2 linked regions of the Nothobranchius furzeri genome follow. The protein of the gene in region 1 interacts with the protein of each later gene in a pairwise test. Links are inferred from orthologs where the notes say so. Each region holds a gene or a part of one and is shown in the gene's direction. Other genes may lie near its edges. The genes, in order: eif4enif1 and efhc1.

Region 1 (8,528 bases):
CGTGGACATGCCCTATCGTGGGCCCTTCGATTGGCTGACAGAGAGCTGTTCTGTGGTTCCTCTTTCCAAGTGCAGGTCACGGAGGGACCATGATTGTTCGGTGCTAGCTCCTACACTTTGAAACCAGTTGCCTTTGGTGGTCGGTCAGTCACCTTCAGATCCACTTTTACACAAGGCATTCCAGCAATAGCAAACTCTTCAGTATTGTTGCCTGGCTTCTTATTCCTTTAGCTGCATTTTATTATTTTTTCTTTTTAATGTTTCTTTGATAGTTTTTGTGATTATGTCACATTTTATCTGATGGTTTTTATATTATGTTGTATTGATGTGTTCAGCACCTTGGGTGTCCGCCTCAGTCATGGAAGGGGCTGAATAAATGAAATGAAACCACCCTAACAAATAGTCTCAGATGGATCAAAAGGCTCGACGACGCTCATTTGGCCTCACCTGTCTCGTATCTTACAGCTGTTACTCTTCCACTGCGCCACCCCGTCACTGAGGAGTCTGTGAACGTCCAGGTGACGCCCAGCCTCCTCCTTCTCTGCCTCTTCCATGTGCTGCCTCGTGAGCCGTCTCCATCGAGCCCAGGCGCTCTGCAGGTGATGCTGCTCGGCGTGGAGAACTGTCTGGAAACACAATGCGACGAGCCTGATCAGCAGCTTGCTGCTGAATCAGATGTAGCTTTTATCTGCTCGTGGCGTACCATCCGCTCTGAGAGCATCTCCTCTTTGTGTGTCTCTAACTGTCTCCACCAGGTGTCCATCACCCAGATGGTCACACGCTGGCTGAGGACACAAAATCTAGTCAAGTTGGAAAAAAAATAATCACGGTTTACTGTTGTTTTGGAGTTCATGAACCACCTCACCGGTCAAAAGCCTCAGCTACATGTCTTCTCTGTTCTTGATGAGTCAGCTCCACCCATGACTTGAAATATTCAGATAAAATGCGCTCAGAAAACCACACGTCTGCACGACTCTCCATTCTCTGTCAAGAAACAAAAATATGCACATGCATATTTTAATTTACCCCTACATTGTGATAGTTTTTATTTTAGTGAGTCATCACGTTTTCACTTAGCATTAACACAAATATCTCATGAACCACAAAATAGACTAACATAAAAACTGCTAGTTTTACAGGTTAAATTTGTTTTGGTGACAAAACATGTGAGGCTTTATATAAAAAGTTATTTCATTGACATTATTTTAACTGTCTCCATAAAATTAAGCATCTCTAAGTGAAATTATGTCTAGTTCTAGTGACTTATCGTATTACTTCAGTAATTTTATGGTGATAAAACCGGACATATGTGATATTAGTATCTGGCAGGTAAACGTCTAGAAATACCTGCATATGTCTCTGTTCAGCAAGTTTCTTTCTCCAGATGTGAAAAAAGCTCCTCAGCAGAGAAATCCTGCAAAGAGAAAATACTTTTACACCCAAAACATTTTTTAAATCATTATTTTTCATTTAAGAAACAAAAGAACTTCACCGGTAGTTGATCTGAGCCTTCTCAGTTAGGGGTTGATAATTCTCATCTTCAGCCTCCTCCAGGCGCTCCTTCCACTGTTCCCAATGTTTTCCCATCATCTGTAATAAAACAAAAACACGAGCCCATCAGATGTTTCCAGATTTGAACTGAACAGCTGTAACTGATGTTGGTGTGTGGATCAGTTACTGTTTGTTGACAGTGTTGGACAGCCACGTTGTTGTTCACTCGGTGGGTTTTGTTCCGCGTGACGTTGAGAGAAAATCCCCCCAATGCTGCACACTGCAACAAAACCAAAATGAACAATAATCACGACCTTTTCCTTTTACCTCATCCTTCTATTTTCTCACCAATAAACGACGCTGAAAATGTTGACGTGCCTACTGGTTTCTCTCTGCTTCTTCTCTGCACAATTCCACGTCTGACATTACAAACACTTCAAGAATAATTTTGTAAATTTTTTGAACCAACTTCCGCGCGTTTGTTTAGGTTTTTCTTGTCACGTGACCTCTAATAGGGGTCTGTTTCTTTTCCATAGTTAAAGCGCACGAGCTGGCCTAGAAATGAGGGGCGGGTGCTCCTGTTTCTTTGGTACAGTGTAATGAAATATAAGATCGGATATTATTGGATTCGGTACAGATTTTAAGTGTCTCTATTCGAAAGTAAGACTTTTTTCCACTTAGGGTAACACAGACCAGCCACCCTCAGTAAACCAGATGATTATTGTCTTTTATAAGCCCTGCTGAGAAGACATAAATGGTGCGCACCCACTCGGAAAAAGTAGCTAGAGCGATATTTTGATCTCGACGCTCCATATATCTACAAAGCGGTTATACAGGCTAAATTTCTAAAGAAATCTTCAAGCTGATCTATACATATTTCTCATAAAACTCTTCACCAAACAGCAACTTAAATGTGCTTATTTATCTCATGACAGAAGCAAGAAAGAAAAACACGGGGTTTACAAAGGCATGGCATATACATTTACCTTGACCGCCCGAAAAGGCGGGCTCCATAGATTTCCCTGAATGTCTCGAGAAACCACTCCGCAGAATCATAAATCAAGCAAACCCTAAAGTTTTAAATAGGTGGCCTAAATATTGCCTGTTTGTGTTGTAAATTGGTTAAAAATGTTTTTTCCCCAAATAAATAAACACGTTTCACGTGATAATTAAAAAAACATTTCTTGAACCCGCATACATTACAAATATTTGTTTATGTACCAAAATGCAATACTGTCAACACACAATGCATTTATTTTATCATTAATATATTTTTTTAATTCTACAAAGGCGCGATGGGCACAATGTAATCTCTCCCAGGACCTTCTTAAAGCGGTGATTGTAAGAAAAAAATTGCTGCTACGATTTAGAAAACAGAGAAAGACCATACATTATTTTAAGAATATACAGGCTCCACGTAACTTAATATGTTATTTGAACCTGATCTATTTTTTCAGTTTACCTTACAATAGTGTGTTTACTAAAACCAGTACAAAACTCAACCGGTTTAGGATTTGGTAACCGCTGGGTGGGTTTTATCCCCATTCCCCAGCTGGTTAGGTAGCTAGCGAAAGGTGCTAACAGGCTAGCTGGCTAACTAACGTTAACTGCAGCTGGGAAGGAAGCAGACAGCGTTTAACTCATTTTCACAGTAAGTTGTTAGTGTGTCCTTTAAGCTTTTTTTAATGGCTGGTACTGTTTTTACGTGCAACTTAAGTTTGTGGTAACAGAGTTCGTTTGTTGCTGTTTTTTAGTTTTGTGCTAATTATGTTAGCTTAAATTTCTTTCGATTAAGATATTTTCTCGAGAATGTGTTGTTCAAAGAAACGTTTTACTCAAGCTGAGGATTTATAAGCTGCCTTTTAGCATCTACGTGCTACACAAACCTGGTCAAACATCGCCAGCGCTTTGTAATTTACTTTAATTGACACGCCGTGTCTAGTCCCAGCTATTTCTGATTGTGATTAATTAAGTCTGATTGGCAAACGGCATGGGCTTGAACCTGACATTTAAAAGTTTTGCTAACTTTAATTCCGATAATTTGAAAGTTGTGTGTTGGACTCTTAAGTCAGTTTTATGCTTGCACTTTTTAAATAGCGTTTTGGGCATGTTTATGAGAAATACGCCTTGTTCCTAAATTTTAAGACGAAATCGTTAAATTACTGACACTAGAGAGTAGCCACACAACTGCGTTGCTTTATAAGGATTTCTGAAATTAAAAGTAGCTAACTTTGTTCCAACAGGACAAGATTATTATTGGACAACATAGTTTGATTGTCTGTATTCAGTCATGGAGAAGGATGCAAATGAAGAACAGAATGGTGATGCTGCTGTGAATCAGCAAAGGAAACCAGCATTCAGATACACAAAGGTGATTAGTTAAAAAAAATAATTGTTTCTTTGTTTGGCCACAATCCCTTAAATTAATGTAACTATTTCTGTTCACAGGAAGAGCTTCTGGAAATAAAGGAACTACCAGTGTCCAATGAAAGACCTGAATGCCTCTCTGAGAAATATGACAGGTATTTTTTTTATTTTTAAGTTTTGTATCAAATTCTTAACAAGGTTTAAAAGGGAATGAAATCCAGTTATATCATAGAATTGTCTGCAGATTATCTCAATAAGTGAACAGAAAGTACAGAAACATTCTGCAGTGGAAGCAGCCTTGTCAGATAAGCTGATTTAGAAAGTTTTTCATTACCTTCAGATACTAGGTAGAATAGATCTGTTTAAGAAAAGATTGTGAACCCTGTTGGTTTGTGCTCGTTTAAATTAAGCAGGTTTTGAGTTTTACACTTCAGTTGCCTTTTTGTTAAATGAGGAGTAAAAAAGTCCATTTTGTTTGTTTTTTTAAAGAATATTCAAAAACCATTTCATTAAACGGTTCTTTATGGATCAAATGTGTTGTAACTGTTACAGTTCTTAAACATTCTACTGAAAGTTGCATCTGAGATTAGGGGTTGTATGAACTAGTCGACTTCACTGCTCTGTAGTGACTTTTTATGCCTGTCATCGACTAGTCGCTGTCACGTGATAATGACTGACAAGATGCAGTCCTCCAGCAGGTGATGAGCCCCTGCGTCGGGAGGCGGAGGCAACGCGCTGTGCCAGAGTGTCGGTACTGACACTGGCGGTAAAACAGACATTTAACCAAACTGTGACCTTTTCCCTTGTGCAATTTTACCTTCCCCTCACCCCCATCCTAATCTTAACCAGTTTGCGCATGCAAAGCTCTGATCGTTGACGCGCTCCAGACATCTGCATCCTGAGCACCGCCAAATCAGGTGTCACCACCTCAAAAACAAATTAAACACGCGATCGTTCATGTCGGCTCATTTCCTTTCATGTTTTCTGTCTGTTATTTGTGCCTGATGCGTTTCGCTGCTGCGGAGCGAGGCTCTTCACCTGTTTTGTTCTCCGGTGACGCACCCCCAAGATTCCAGTATCTCCGCTCCGGCACGAACCCCGCAGCAAAAACGGTCCTGTTGTAGTCAGCCGGCGAGCAGTGGCACTCCGCTGTTTTTGTGGTCGGTAGATCTTTTAGAACTGCAGTTCAAAGGTAACTCATAAGGTGAATATATATGAACCCAGGTAGCAGTTTTTCTTTAGGATTGAGAGGAGATGCAGGAAGATAATAAACAGACAGGACAGAAAAATAGTCAAATAAAAACAAGTTTGTTTTTGTACCTGGTGGTTGCAACAAACAGACACCATTGAAGGTAATCAGAAGTGAGGAACAGAAAATGAAATAATTATTTTAATGTTAAGAGCAGCAGGAAAGGCTGCAGGCGCATCAGTGAGTTTGCGGCTGCTGCGCAGGGGGAGGGGGGAGAGGACTGAAGTAGGATGCAGAAACTACCATTGTTAAAAGAGATGTGTTAACTTAGAAAATGTGGGCGCAATTTTAATTGTCAAAAACTCCAGCGAATCTACCGACCCCCCCCCCCCCCCACGCTTCGGGTGTATGACATCAACAACTAGTCGAAGTCGACTCGATTTTCATTACTTGACTGTCGACTTTAAAAAAAAATTAAGTCATGCAAACCCTATCTGAGATAAACTACAAAAATGTTGTCCAACTGCTGGTGTGTGCATGTGTGTGTTCAAGCATGTGTGTATTCAAGCTAAATAGCAATACTGCACAAGTAGGACATAACAAATTATCAGGCTTTTGTATTTTTTCTTATTACAAGAGGGACTCGCTGACCTGGTCTTTAGGTGATTGCAAGTATCCTGTCATGGTAGTTTTTTTTTTTTTTTTTTACATTTTGTGAGAAGTGGGGCCTTTTTTTTTTTTAAATTTTTTGGTAATGTTTTGGGGTTCTGATGATCAATTCCAAGAAAGACAAGTAAAATATTCAGTTCGTGGTTTGTATTGGTACTTGAAATTAAGAGATTGCATTTTAATGTGGCATTCAAGGTACCTGAGGTACATGGATGCGATACTGCTGCTGAATTTCCCGTGTTTTACTGCAATTGAGATCTAGCTTTATGTATTCTGTGTAGCAGGGTCACTGGACTTAAGAAAAAAATATATGAACATCCTAAACACACCATTGTTTGCAATACGGCCTAAGACATGATAAATTGTAGTTTGCATGTTGATCTGATGGCCATGCACACACCTGGTTTAGACGATGAAAGTTGAAACAGTTAAAATTTGAACTTTTATGGAACGTATAGAGGAAAATAGGGATTTCTAATATCACAATATTCATGAATAAAACTGCAATTGCATGTTTCTTTCTAGCGTATTGCTCTAGTTCCCAGTCTTATTTCATCGCAGCCACACTAAATTTGAAATTTTTCAAAAACATTATTGATTTTACCAAAAAGAATTTAGATGTGTAATTATTTGCAGCCCAGCAGCTGTTTTGCATTAAAATTAAGAAATCAACAGGCGACTGGTGCTCCCTTACTTCATTTTGAATAAAAAATGTTCAATCTTGCCGTGTGTGGCGGCTTTGTTCTGTGGTCTGTATGTTTTGATGACTAATGCAAACGTATAGTAACATTGTGGTGCTTTTTTTTTTCTTCACTTTAACATTAGCCTTGTGTCCTAAAACAGATTAGTGGCAATTGAGCCAAAAAAAATGGACAGAACCAAATGATTCACAGCATATAATCAGATAAAGTCTTTGTAGTATTTCTAATTATCAACACTTAAAAGTGTTGCATGCATGAAGGGTCTTGAATTTTCTATTCTTGGTATGCCTTTAGTTTTCAAACTAATACATTCCCACAATATTTCTCATTTTTAATGTTTGTTTTATTTAGTGATGGTGTCTGGGACCCAGAGAAATGGCATGCATCCTTGTACCCCATCTCAGAGCGAAGCTCTCCAGTAGAAGGATTTAAGAAGGACTACGGCGATGAACGGGTTCCTTTAAAGAGAAGAGTCCCAGGTAAATGTTTTCCTCTTCATTTCAGATGACTGAGAATTTGGGTTTAAAAAGTTTCCTTTAGTGTGAAAGACAAGTCCCGACAGTTGGAAGTTGTTGCGCTGTAGACTGAAACATGGTTTCTCTGGAAAAATAAAAAGTAAATGGTAGTATTTGTACTTAAACTGTGAACTTGAGTTTCTTGTTTTAAAATTTAAAAACTTTTTTTAGATCCTCGTGAGCGGTTAAAGGAGGACGACTTAGATGTCGTACTCAGCCCACAGAGACGTAGTTTTGGAGGTGGATGTCAAGGCAATGCAGCACCTGCACCACCTGCTACCCACTCCCGTCGACCCCCCAGCCCACTGGAAAACAAGGAAAATGAGTCTCTTCGTCTCGGAGGAACTCGCAGAATTGGCAGTGGACGAATTATTGCTTCCCGTGCCTTTGAGAGAGAAGCCCGTGCAGAAAAGGAGCGAGAACGGGAGAGAGACTTTAAGGATAAAAGATTCCGGGTGGGTTTTATTTACTAGTTCATCAGAACAGCATTCTCTGTAGTGGGATGAAAAGATTTAAATTCATTACAGCTTCTGTAATATTGTTTTTATGTGTTAATGTTTTTAAGAATTTGCTTTGCATTTTTGTTGAAGTGGTGCTGTGTTTGTCCCTTGCAGAGAGATTTTAGTGACAAGCGTGTGTTTAGTGAAAGGAGAAGAAATGACTCGTATGCAGAGGAGGAGCCGGAGTGGTTCTCAGCAGGTCCCACCAGCCAGTCGGAGACCATAGAGCTCATCGGATTTGATGACAAAATTCTGGAGGAAGATAAACGCAGGTCCAAGCGGTCAAGAAAGAGAGTGGACTCTGTTAAAGAAGGCACGTTGAAGCTTTTTTCTGTTTATATTCGGGTTATGTTCTGTTTGGTATTTAAGCTTTTCCTTAAAGTCCTTTTAAATTTGATCTTTTTATTTATTTCAATGTAGCGATTGAATGTAATGGTGGACTAGCTGAGGAGCAGGATGTTGGTTTACAGTCCACAGCTGATCAGGAGGTCCCTCATCCTGATGTTCTACCAGAGCAATCAGCTGGAGAGTTTGACTTCAATGAGTTCTTCAACCTGGAGAAAACCATGCCAGGGCTAGCTTCTGTAAGTACTGGGGTGCACAGTTTAAGGTGATGTCACAAAATGGGTGTCATGACATACTTCTACCACCTTCCATTATATCTTTTTCCTGTTATGTGCTATCATAAGGTCCCAAGCCAGACTTGCAGGAATTTTTGTAGTTTGAGAAAACATTTTAGAAAATTTTAAGTTTTATTCTGATCTGGTCTACCCATGTCACTAGTATACTTTACACATAAACTAGCCATTTTGATAAGTGCACACACATAATGTCAGAACAAGATTACTGCTGCACTGGCTTGATCTCATTGATTTTTAGTGGTGAGTAGTACTGTCACTAAAATGGTGCACTTGGATCAGTTTTCTGCTCTGGACTATGGCATGGGGGTCCAACGGGGATCAGACATCCAAATTTATGCCCATCATACCCGCTTTAGACCCTGGTACTCTCTGAAGAGTCAACTAAACCAGACTTGAAGCTAAAGCTGGTTTGTGGTGTTGAATCAGTACAATGTCAGACTGCTGTGCATTCAGTG
Region 2 (7,832 bases), on another chromosome or scaffold:
GTTCTTTCTGGTTCAGTGGTTTGAGTTGTTACCACTTGGTGTTCACATTCAGTGAGAAGAGTGATGTGTCTTCAATTGACGTGTCTTTGGGTTCTGGGCAAAGGCTCGCCATCTCCATCTGGAGAGAATCCAGGAATCCGATCCAGTTCTTAATCGGCAAGGATAAAAACTTAGCCAAGATGAGGTATCAATATGAATGCAGCAGTGGACTCCCATCACACGGCTGCTCCAGCTCATACTCTCATCACTTAATGCAACAAATATCCTAAAATAGCTTTTAGGAATTGCCAACAGTGGAGTACAACACGTTTCTGCCTTTAAACTCACCAAGGTGAAACATTAAATCCAGAACAGCTCGTGTACAACCGGTCTCGTTCATGTCCAAGTGCAAAAAGACCATATAACAGGAAACAAAGTGGGAAAGAACGGATCTGACTTCCTCCTTTCAATGTAAACGTTTTTTCATAATAAAAGCAAAAATAAAATTTGATACAGGTAAGAGAAGAGAAAAAGGACGTTTTCTCTGCTGGGTTACCATAGGCAAACTGAAAGGCTAACTGCTAGCATAACAGCTAACTGGCACAAAGCAGGTAAAAAGCTCCCCCTACCCGCTCCACAAAACTAAGTGCAGTATCTGGCCAGCAGCGGGCTGCAGAGTGTTGTCAGATAAGAAACTGGTCAAGTTTATAACTCAACAATCACTAGCTTAAAGTTTAAAAAACTATTTAGTGTTGCTTACAAAAAGATTTTAATTTCCTTATTACAATTTCATTACAGGTGGTTAGTTATTAAAAATTCTAAATAAAAAAAACAAATTTTCAAATATCATATTGTTTTAAAAAAATCTGGCACAACGTTATTTATTATTTATTTCAAATACTAATGATATATTTCTTTGTAATACCAGTTCAGCATTCAGGCTGTTTGATTCTTTGGTCAGGTGCTACGTTTTTATGCCCTGTATGACAAATCGGACACACCTTATGAAGATCCCCGGCCAATGATCATCTACTATTACCTGGTGGACGACACAGTGGAGATCAGTGAGGTCCATGAACACAACAGCGGCTGGAATCCCTCCTCTCGCTTCTTGCGCAGGCAGAAGATCCCCAAGAAGCTGAAATCTGGTGAGATAAAATTAACCAAATGTAGTTTGTGAGACGAGGTATTTCATAAAAAATATTGACACAAAGTGGTGGTGTCAAAATACACCAAATTACACCAAAATACACAACATGTTTTCAACTCCTCTAATAAGTGAAAATAAATGCTTTTTGTCCTGGATAGATTTTCTCATTTTTCTCTCTTTTTAAAATTTGCTTTGTAAGAAACGGCCCCTAGCTGTATAATGGAGCTCACTAAGAAGGATGTAGAGGAGTACTACTCCCCCAAAGACTTCCAGCTGGGTCAAAAGGTCACCCTGCTGAACCATCACTTCTTGCTCTACAACTGTGATGCCTTCACTAAAGACTATTACCAGAAGAACTTCCCAGACATGGAGATGAAACCCACAGAGATACCAGTGAAGAAGGAATCTCCAATTCCAGAGAAGGTCTGGAACACATTCTTCGTATTACTTTGTCAGACTAAAGATATCTGTTGTAACATTAATATTTCTCTCAAACCTTACTTTTTCTGCATCCTGTTGTCAACATGCACAGCACATACCACCCTACAATGGATTCGGTTCTCTTGAAGACTCCCTTCAGAACTGTTTGTCTTTAATTCCCAAGCGTCCTAAAGGGAACCTGCAGAAGATGTTGAAGGGTGACACTGTGTTGCGCTACAGCGCCCGGTTGGTGAGGAAACCTTTGAAATCTCGAATACTTAATGATTAGAATTCTGACATTTCTTTTTGTTTCGACTTGAAAAGCCTTTGCTAACAATCATAAAACAAATAAAGGTGTGGAACACTCATTTAATCAGTAAAGTTAAAGTCCCATAGTTGTCACACACTGGTGTGGTGAAAATTGTCCTCTGCATTTGACCCATCTCTGTGGGGAGCGGTGAACTGCAGCGGTGGCTGCGCTCGGGAACTATTTGGTGATTTAACCCCCCAATCCAACCCCTTAAAGCTAAGTGTGAAGCAGGGAGGCATTGGGTCCCATTTTATTTAGTCTTTGGTATGACTCGACCGGTTTTTGAACTCCAATCTCCCAGTAGCAGGGCGTACACTCTATCACTAGGCCACTGAAGTGGGTAGTATAGCTACACACACTGCAGTTCCCCTCCTAAACTCTAGGTTTTGCTACAGGAAATGTATTAGCTCTACAGAGCAGGAATGGTCCTCAGAGTAAATCAGGAAGTTTAGTTTCAGATGCGCTTGTTTCAGGAACTAGCAGAGTGCCACAACAGAGCAGAGCTTATCGCGGCAGAATTTGGAGTCATATTTCCTGATATTTGGACCTCCCACCTTGGGTTGGATAACAGCAATGTGACTCTAACACTGACTTGCAACGTTGATGTTTTGTCTCCACAAATAACACAAGCCTGGATGAGTTCTGCTGTGTGGTGGAATTGCTAATGCTAACGGTTAGCTTCTACTTGCCCGGACGTTCTTAGCTGTTTCCTGACCGCTAAACCAACAACAGCCTTCTCTGTCAAGATGGGTGAGTCCATGAATGTTCAGCAACAGTGTGACGTAGATCTGTCAGGATCAAGGGCGTCAGTTTGTTTTCAGAATTGCTGGGGACAATAACCATACACTTGAGTGGGGTTTAAAAATTGCTGGGGACAATAAAGAAGGCTAGCACAGGGGTCGGCAATCCGCGGCTCTGGAGCCGCATGCTCTTCCATCCATCTGATGCAACTCTCTGTGCTTGTAAAATAATAAATGGATATTTAAATAAAATGCTTTATATTTTACTGCATTAATTTTACACCTGTATGCCAATTCTAAATGTAGATTGTCTGCGTAAACCTGAACAGGTCCAACCCGGTCTGCGGTGGTTGACCGGTCACGCTTGTGCGTAATCATATAGGCACTTTATGAGCTGAAGAGGATGTGAGATTCTGGGCTTCTCCTCAGACGGCTCCTGGATGTGTCGCCACATTGGAGACAGGAACAAGCACTATTCAGCCAAAGTTTATAATCAGGGAACATTTTCTAAGTGACAAGTCTCTCTGAGAGACGGGGTTTGGAAAACACTCGCTTCAGTGGGAGGAATCTTCCCGCATGTGCACTGCATGGTTCTCTGCGTGGCTCTAGGGTTAATCAAGTTTAATTGTTTCTCTTTGCAACAATCTTCACAGGAAGGCAAAACAGTTAAACGGCAGGTTACATATATTTCCATTTGACTGTTTATTTTGACAGATGAACTCAAGGATGTTGCTCTGTTTGAAAGAATTACCCCGACGCCCTTTGATGCACATGGATGAGCTGACATTTTAATCGTTAACGCACATCGCGGAGGTAAAATATTCCCATCAGAACATCAGAGCTCTTTATACTGGACACTGTGTTCAGCGCGGCTCGGAGCGCCCCGGTGGACAGTGAGCTGAAGATCTGGGGTTCCAGCGCAGTGCAGCGCAGCGCAGAACCACGCGCATGCGATGATTTCCTCCCACTGAAATAGTCTGGAAACCCGGTCTCTCTGAGGGATGTGTCACTTGGAAAGTGTTCTTTTTATGAAATTATGAAACTTTGGCTGAACAGCGCTTGTTCCCGTCTCTAATATGGAGACGCATGAAGCGTATGACATTTGATCACGCACAAAGTTTATGTGGAGCAGAAGCGGTCGGGCCACGGCAGGTGAAATGTTCCTAGCCTATATACATGAAGTGAAACTGTTTAATTGTAACATTAATGTTACTGGACACGCTGGTCTGGTTGGTTAGACCAGTGTTTGAAGTGGAAAACACACACACACACACACACACACACACACACACACACACACCAATTAAAATAATGCTGATAGCGTGGACTAGAAGACAGGTGATGGTTTACGTATTTAAATGATGATCAGGCTGCTGTAAAATGTAATCTCCATCCACATCCAGACACAATTATCCTCTATTCTTTCTCTAGTTGCTCTGCTCTTGTCTGGGCTGATCAGCTGATGGTGCGCGCGCGCCTAACTAGCGGCTGATGCACATTTTACGCATTTGGAGAGATGGACTGGATGCTGTGCGTTTACTGGAAGATGGTCCACTTAACACACGGGTGTAGACTACATATTAATGACAAATGAATGAAAATTAAATTGTGAGTTTTTACTTCATATTTTAGTAATAAAAATGACGGGGGAACACATTTATGACGTCTTTTAAATGAAATTTTCTAGCGCGACCTGCCTGCTTCACTTAAGTCTCTGCTTATTAAGGTCCGTCCAAAATTACCGTGGGAAACGGGTAATAATGGTTCTTTGATGGGAACAGGTTGCCGACCCCTGGTATAAGATCTGAACTGGTAAAACAAAAATCCTCATCAGCAGGCGTTTTTGAAAGTGGGGGGGACACAGCTGCCAATCACAAATTTTGCCGGGGACATGTCCCCGGCGTCCCCGGTTAAAATGACGCCTATGGTCAGGATTTTCAACATTCAGTCAAATTCTACCTTAGTAAACATTAAACTGTAAAATTTAAGAATTTGGATTTTTATGTACTCGGTTTTTAAAAGGTGTGATTCGCTCATTTTTTTTGGTACATTTGCTGTGGTCTTGTAAGTCATACTCTGGGGAAACAAAGCTCCAGTGCACAATTTTCAGGAAGTAGAAGTAAGCTGCATCAGAGTAGAGTTTCAGATGGTGGGATTTGGAGTCTTATTTCCTGATATTTGAACATAACGCCCCAGATTGGATAACAGCACTGGAACATTGATGTTTTATCTCCAAAAATAACACAAACCTGGAGGGGTTTTTCCATGTGGTGGAGTTGCTGATGCTGACATTTACCTTCAAATTCTGGATTTTCACCATCTATTTTCTACCAGAGACTAATTCAGGAGATAAGTGTAGGAGACTATTTTCACATTCAGCCTGCAAGGAAAACTTAGCAACCAATTATAATCAGAAATAATCGTTAAAAAATGGTTTTTCAGTGTTCGACACCTTTAAACTAAAGTATGTTTGATTTTGGTTCCAGGACTCGGTGAATCCTGAGGATGAAGGCCGACAGTTTGTTATGTCGTACTTCCTGTTGGACGACACGATCAGCATTTTTGAGAAACCTGTCTGCAACTCTGGTTTCATCGGTGGGAAATTCCTGAGAAAGACTTGCGTTCCCAAGCCAGGCTCTTCCGTGGAAAAACCAGAGTTCTACTCACCTGTGGACTTTGCCATTGGAGCCACTGTAGAAGGTAGCATTTCAATCCATCCATCCATTTTCATCCACTTATCCGAAGTCGGGTCTCACGGGCAGTAGCCTAAGGTGAGAGGCCCAGACTTCCCTCTCCCCAGCCACTTGGGCCAGCTCCTCCGGGGTAATCCCAAGGCGCTCCCAGGCCAGGTGAGAGACATAGTCCCTCCACCGTGTCCTGGGTCTACCTTTAGGTCTCATCCCGGTTGGATGTGCCCAGAAAACCTCACCAGGGAGGCGTCCAGGAGGCATCCTGACCAGATGCATGAGCCACCTCAACTGGCTCCTCTCGATGTGGAGGAGCAGTGGGTCTACTCCGAGCCCCTCCCGAATGACTGAGCTTCTCACCCTATCTCTAAGGGAGAGCCCAGCCACTCTTCGGAGAAAACTCATTTCGGCCGCTTGTATCCGTGATCTCGTTCTTTCGATCACTACCCAAAGCTCATGACCATAGGTGAGGGTAGGAACGTAGATCAACCGGTAAATCAAAAGCTTCGCCCTCTGACTCAGCTCTCTCTTCACCACGACAGACCGATACAACACCCGCATCACTGCAGATGCAGCACCAATCCACCTATCAATCTCACGCTCCACTTTTCCCTCACTGGTGAACAAGACCCTGAGATACTTAAACTCCTCCACTTGGGGCAGGACCTCATCCCTGACCCGGAGAAGGCATTCTACCCTTTTCCGAATCAAGACCATGGTCTCAGATTTAGAGGAGCTGATTCTCATCCCAGCTGCTTCACACTCGGCTGCGAACCGCTCCAGCGAAAGCTGAAGATCACGGTCTGATGAAGCCAACAGGACCACATCATCTGCAAAAATCAGAGACCTGATCCTCAGGCCACCAAAACGGATGCCCTTCACACCTTGGCTGCGCCTAGAAATCCAGTCCATAAAGGTGATGAACAGAATCGGTGACAAAGGGCAACCTTGGCGGAGTCCAGCTCACACTGGGATGGAGCCCGACTTACTGCCGGCAATGCGGACCAAGCTCTGACACCGGTCATACAGGGACCTAACAGCCCGTATCAGAGGGCCTGGTACCCCATACTCCCGGAGTACTCCCCACAGGGCCCCCGAGGGACACGGTCAAACGCCTTCCCCAAATCCACAAAACACATGGAGACTGGTTGGGCAAATTCCCACACACCCTCCAGGATCCCCCTAAGGGTATAGAGCTGGTCCAGTGTTCCATGGCCAGGACAAAAACCACATTGCTCCTCCTGAATCTGAGGTTCAACAATCCGACGGACCCTCCACTTCAGATTTGACCTAGTGGATTTTCAGAGGTTTTCGGGCTGCTCTTTGTCTGATCCCTCACCTAGGACCTGTTTGCCATGGCTGACCCTACCAGAGGCAGAAAGCCTCAGACAACTTAGCTCCTAGGATCATTGAGACACTCAAACCCCTCCACCACGGTAAGGTGGCAGCCCAGGGAGAGGTAGCATTTCAATGTAATCCCCAAATTCTGAACGTTAATATTTACTCTAAAGTTTCACCAAGATAGACAATGTTTTATAATGAATGCCATACCGAGCTGCATTCACCATTAATGCAGCTGACGGTTTGTTTCCAGTTTTAGGCCATCGCTTTGTGCTGACCGGCGCTGCCCCACAAGTGCTTAAGTACTTGGAGTCAATCTCCAGCAAGATTCCCTCTCACACACTGGATTCTTTGAGACATACACTTGGTGAGAAGATGGCAGAAAACCAACCAGACGAGCAGAACGGTAAGAATCAAATCTGTCTTTATTCCCAACACTCCCACACAAACTGCCTGGTTTAATAAAAAGAATTGTGCATGAATGTAATTCTGCACTTTTGTTTCCTCCTCAACAGGCGAAGAACCAAAATCATCTCCGACATGAACACTGGATTTTATTTCAATGTTTCTGCTTCAAAACACAGAAGAAACACTGAATGTTTAAAAGGTTTGACCTAGTGGATTTTCAAATAAATTTACAAACGGGAACGATGGAAATGATTTTAAAGACAGCATTCTCATCCTGCAGTAGTTCAGTAGCCCCAGTTGTGCTTTATTATTGGCGCTATACTAATAGTATCACTTTGCTTTTCTTCCTAAAAACACATCTGACCCAAAAACAAAATGCTTAGATACTCCAGATAATCCTACAACTTGCTTCAGAAAGTCATTTTATTGAAGACATTTAAGAAGAGAACAAAAACAAAACATGGAATGACAAAGCAGTAAACGTCTGTTGGGCTCTAAGGATTTCCTTGGATTTCATTATCCAGCGCTCAAGCTTAAGTCAATCAATCAATCAATCAATCAAAGCTTTATTTATAAAGCGCCTTCCGCAACCCTGTCAGGAAGCCCAAAGTGCTGAACATGGTACAGTTGTAGGTAAATATATTGAATAAATCAACAATAAAAGCAATTCAAATTACAAAATACAAATTACAAAATACAAATTACAAGATAGATGAAACATTCTGGTACAGGACAAATGTGTGAAACACAATTGGATTGAGTGGATGGATTGAGTGAACCAATGAAAACTGTAAAAT

What was found.
Region 2: the proteins of eif4enif1 (region 1) and efhc1 interact in binary tests that used the Homo sapiens proteins (3 or more experiments, as listed by UniProt). The two-hybrid records come from large-scale screens. The link is inferred for Nothobranchius furzeri from reciprocal best matches to the Homo sapiens genes EIF4ENIF1 and EFHC1.

The regions. Positions count from the first base shown.
Region 1 is NC_091743.1:66,908,842-66,917,369, reverse strand, and holds the start of eif4enif1 (eukaryotic translation initiation factor 4E transporter), read left to right. Parts: upstream 1-2,950; 5' UTR 2,951-3,142; intron 3,143-3,734; 5' UTR 3,735-3,781; coding exon 3,782-3,862; intron 3,863-3,939; coding exon 3,940-4,013; intron 4,014-6,768; coding exon 6,769-6,896; intron 6,897-7,103; coding exon 7,104-7,387; intron 7,388-7,546; coding exon 7,547-7,745; intron 7,746-7,852; coding exon 7,853-8,016; intron 8,017-8,528. Other genes in the region: protein SFI1 homolog, read right to left, coding at 448-626, 704-785, 866-984, 1,348-1,414, 1,493-1,590. UniProt on the Homo sapiens protein: EIF4E-binding protein that regulates translation and stability of mRNAs in processing bodies (P-bodies). Plays a key role in P-bodies to coordinate the storage of translationally inactive mRNAs in the cytoplasm and prevent their degradation.
Region 2 is NC_091742.1:6,286,769-6,294,600, reverse strand, and holds the end of efhc1 (EF-hand domain-containing protein 1), read left to right. Parts: intron 1-940; coding exon 941-1,127; intron 1,128-1,328; coding exon 1,329-1,552; intron 1,553-1,661; coding exon 1,662-1,799; intron 1,800-5,085; coding exon 5,086-5,299; intron 5,300-6,880; coding exon 6,881-7,033; intron 7,034-7,142; coding exon 7,143-7,171; 3' UTR 7,172-7,272; downstream 7,273-7,832. UniProt on the Homo sapiens protein: Microtubule inner protein (MIP) part of the dynein-decorated doublet microtubules (DMTs) in cilia axoneme, which is required for motile cilia beating.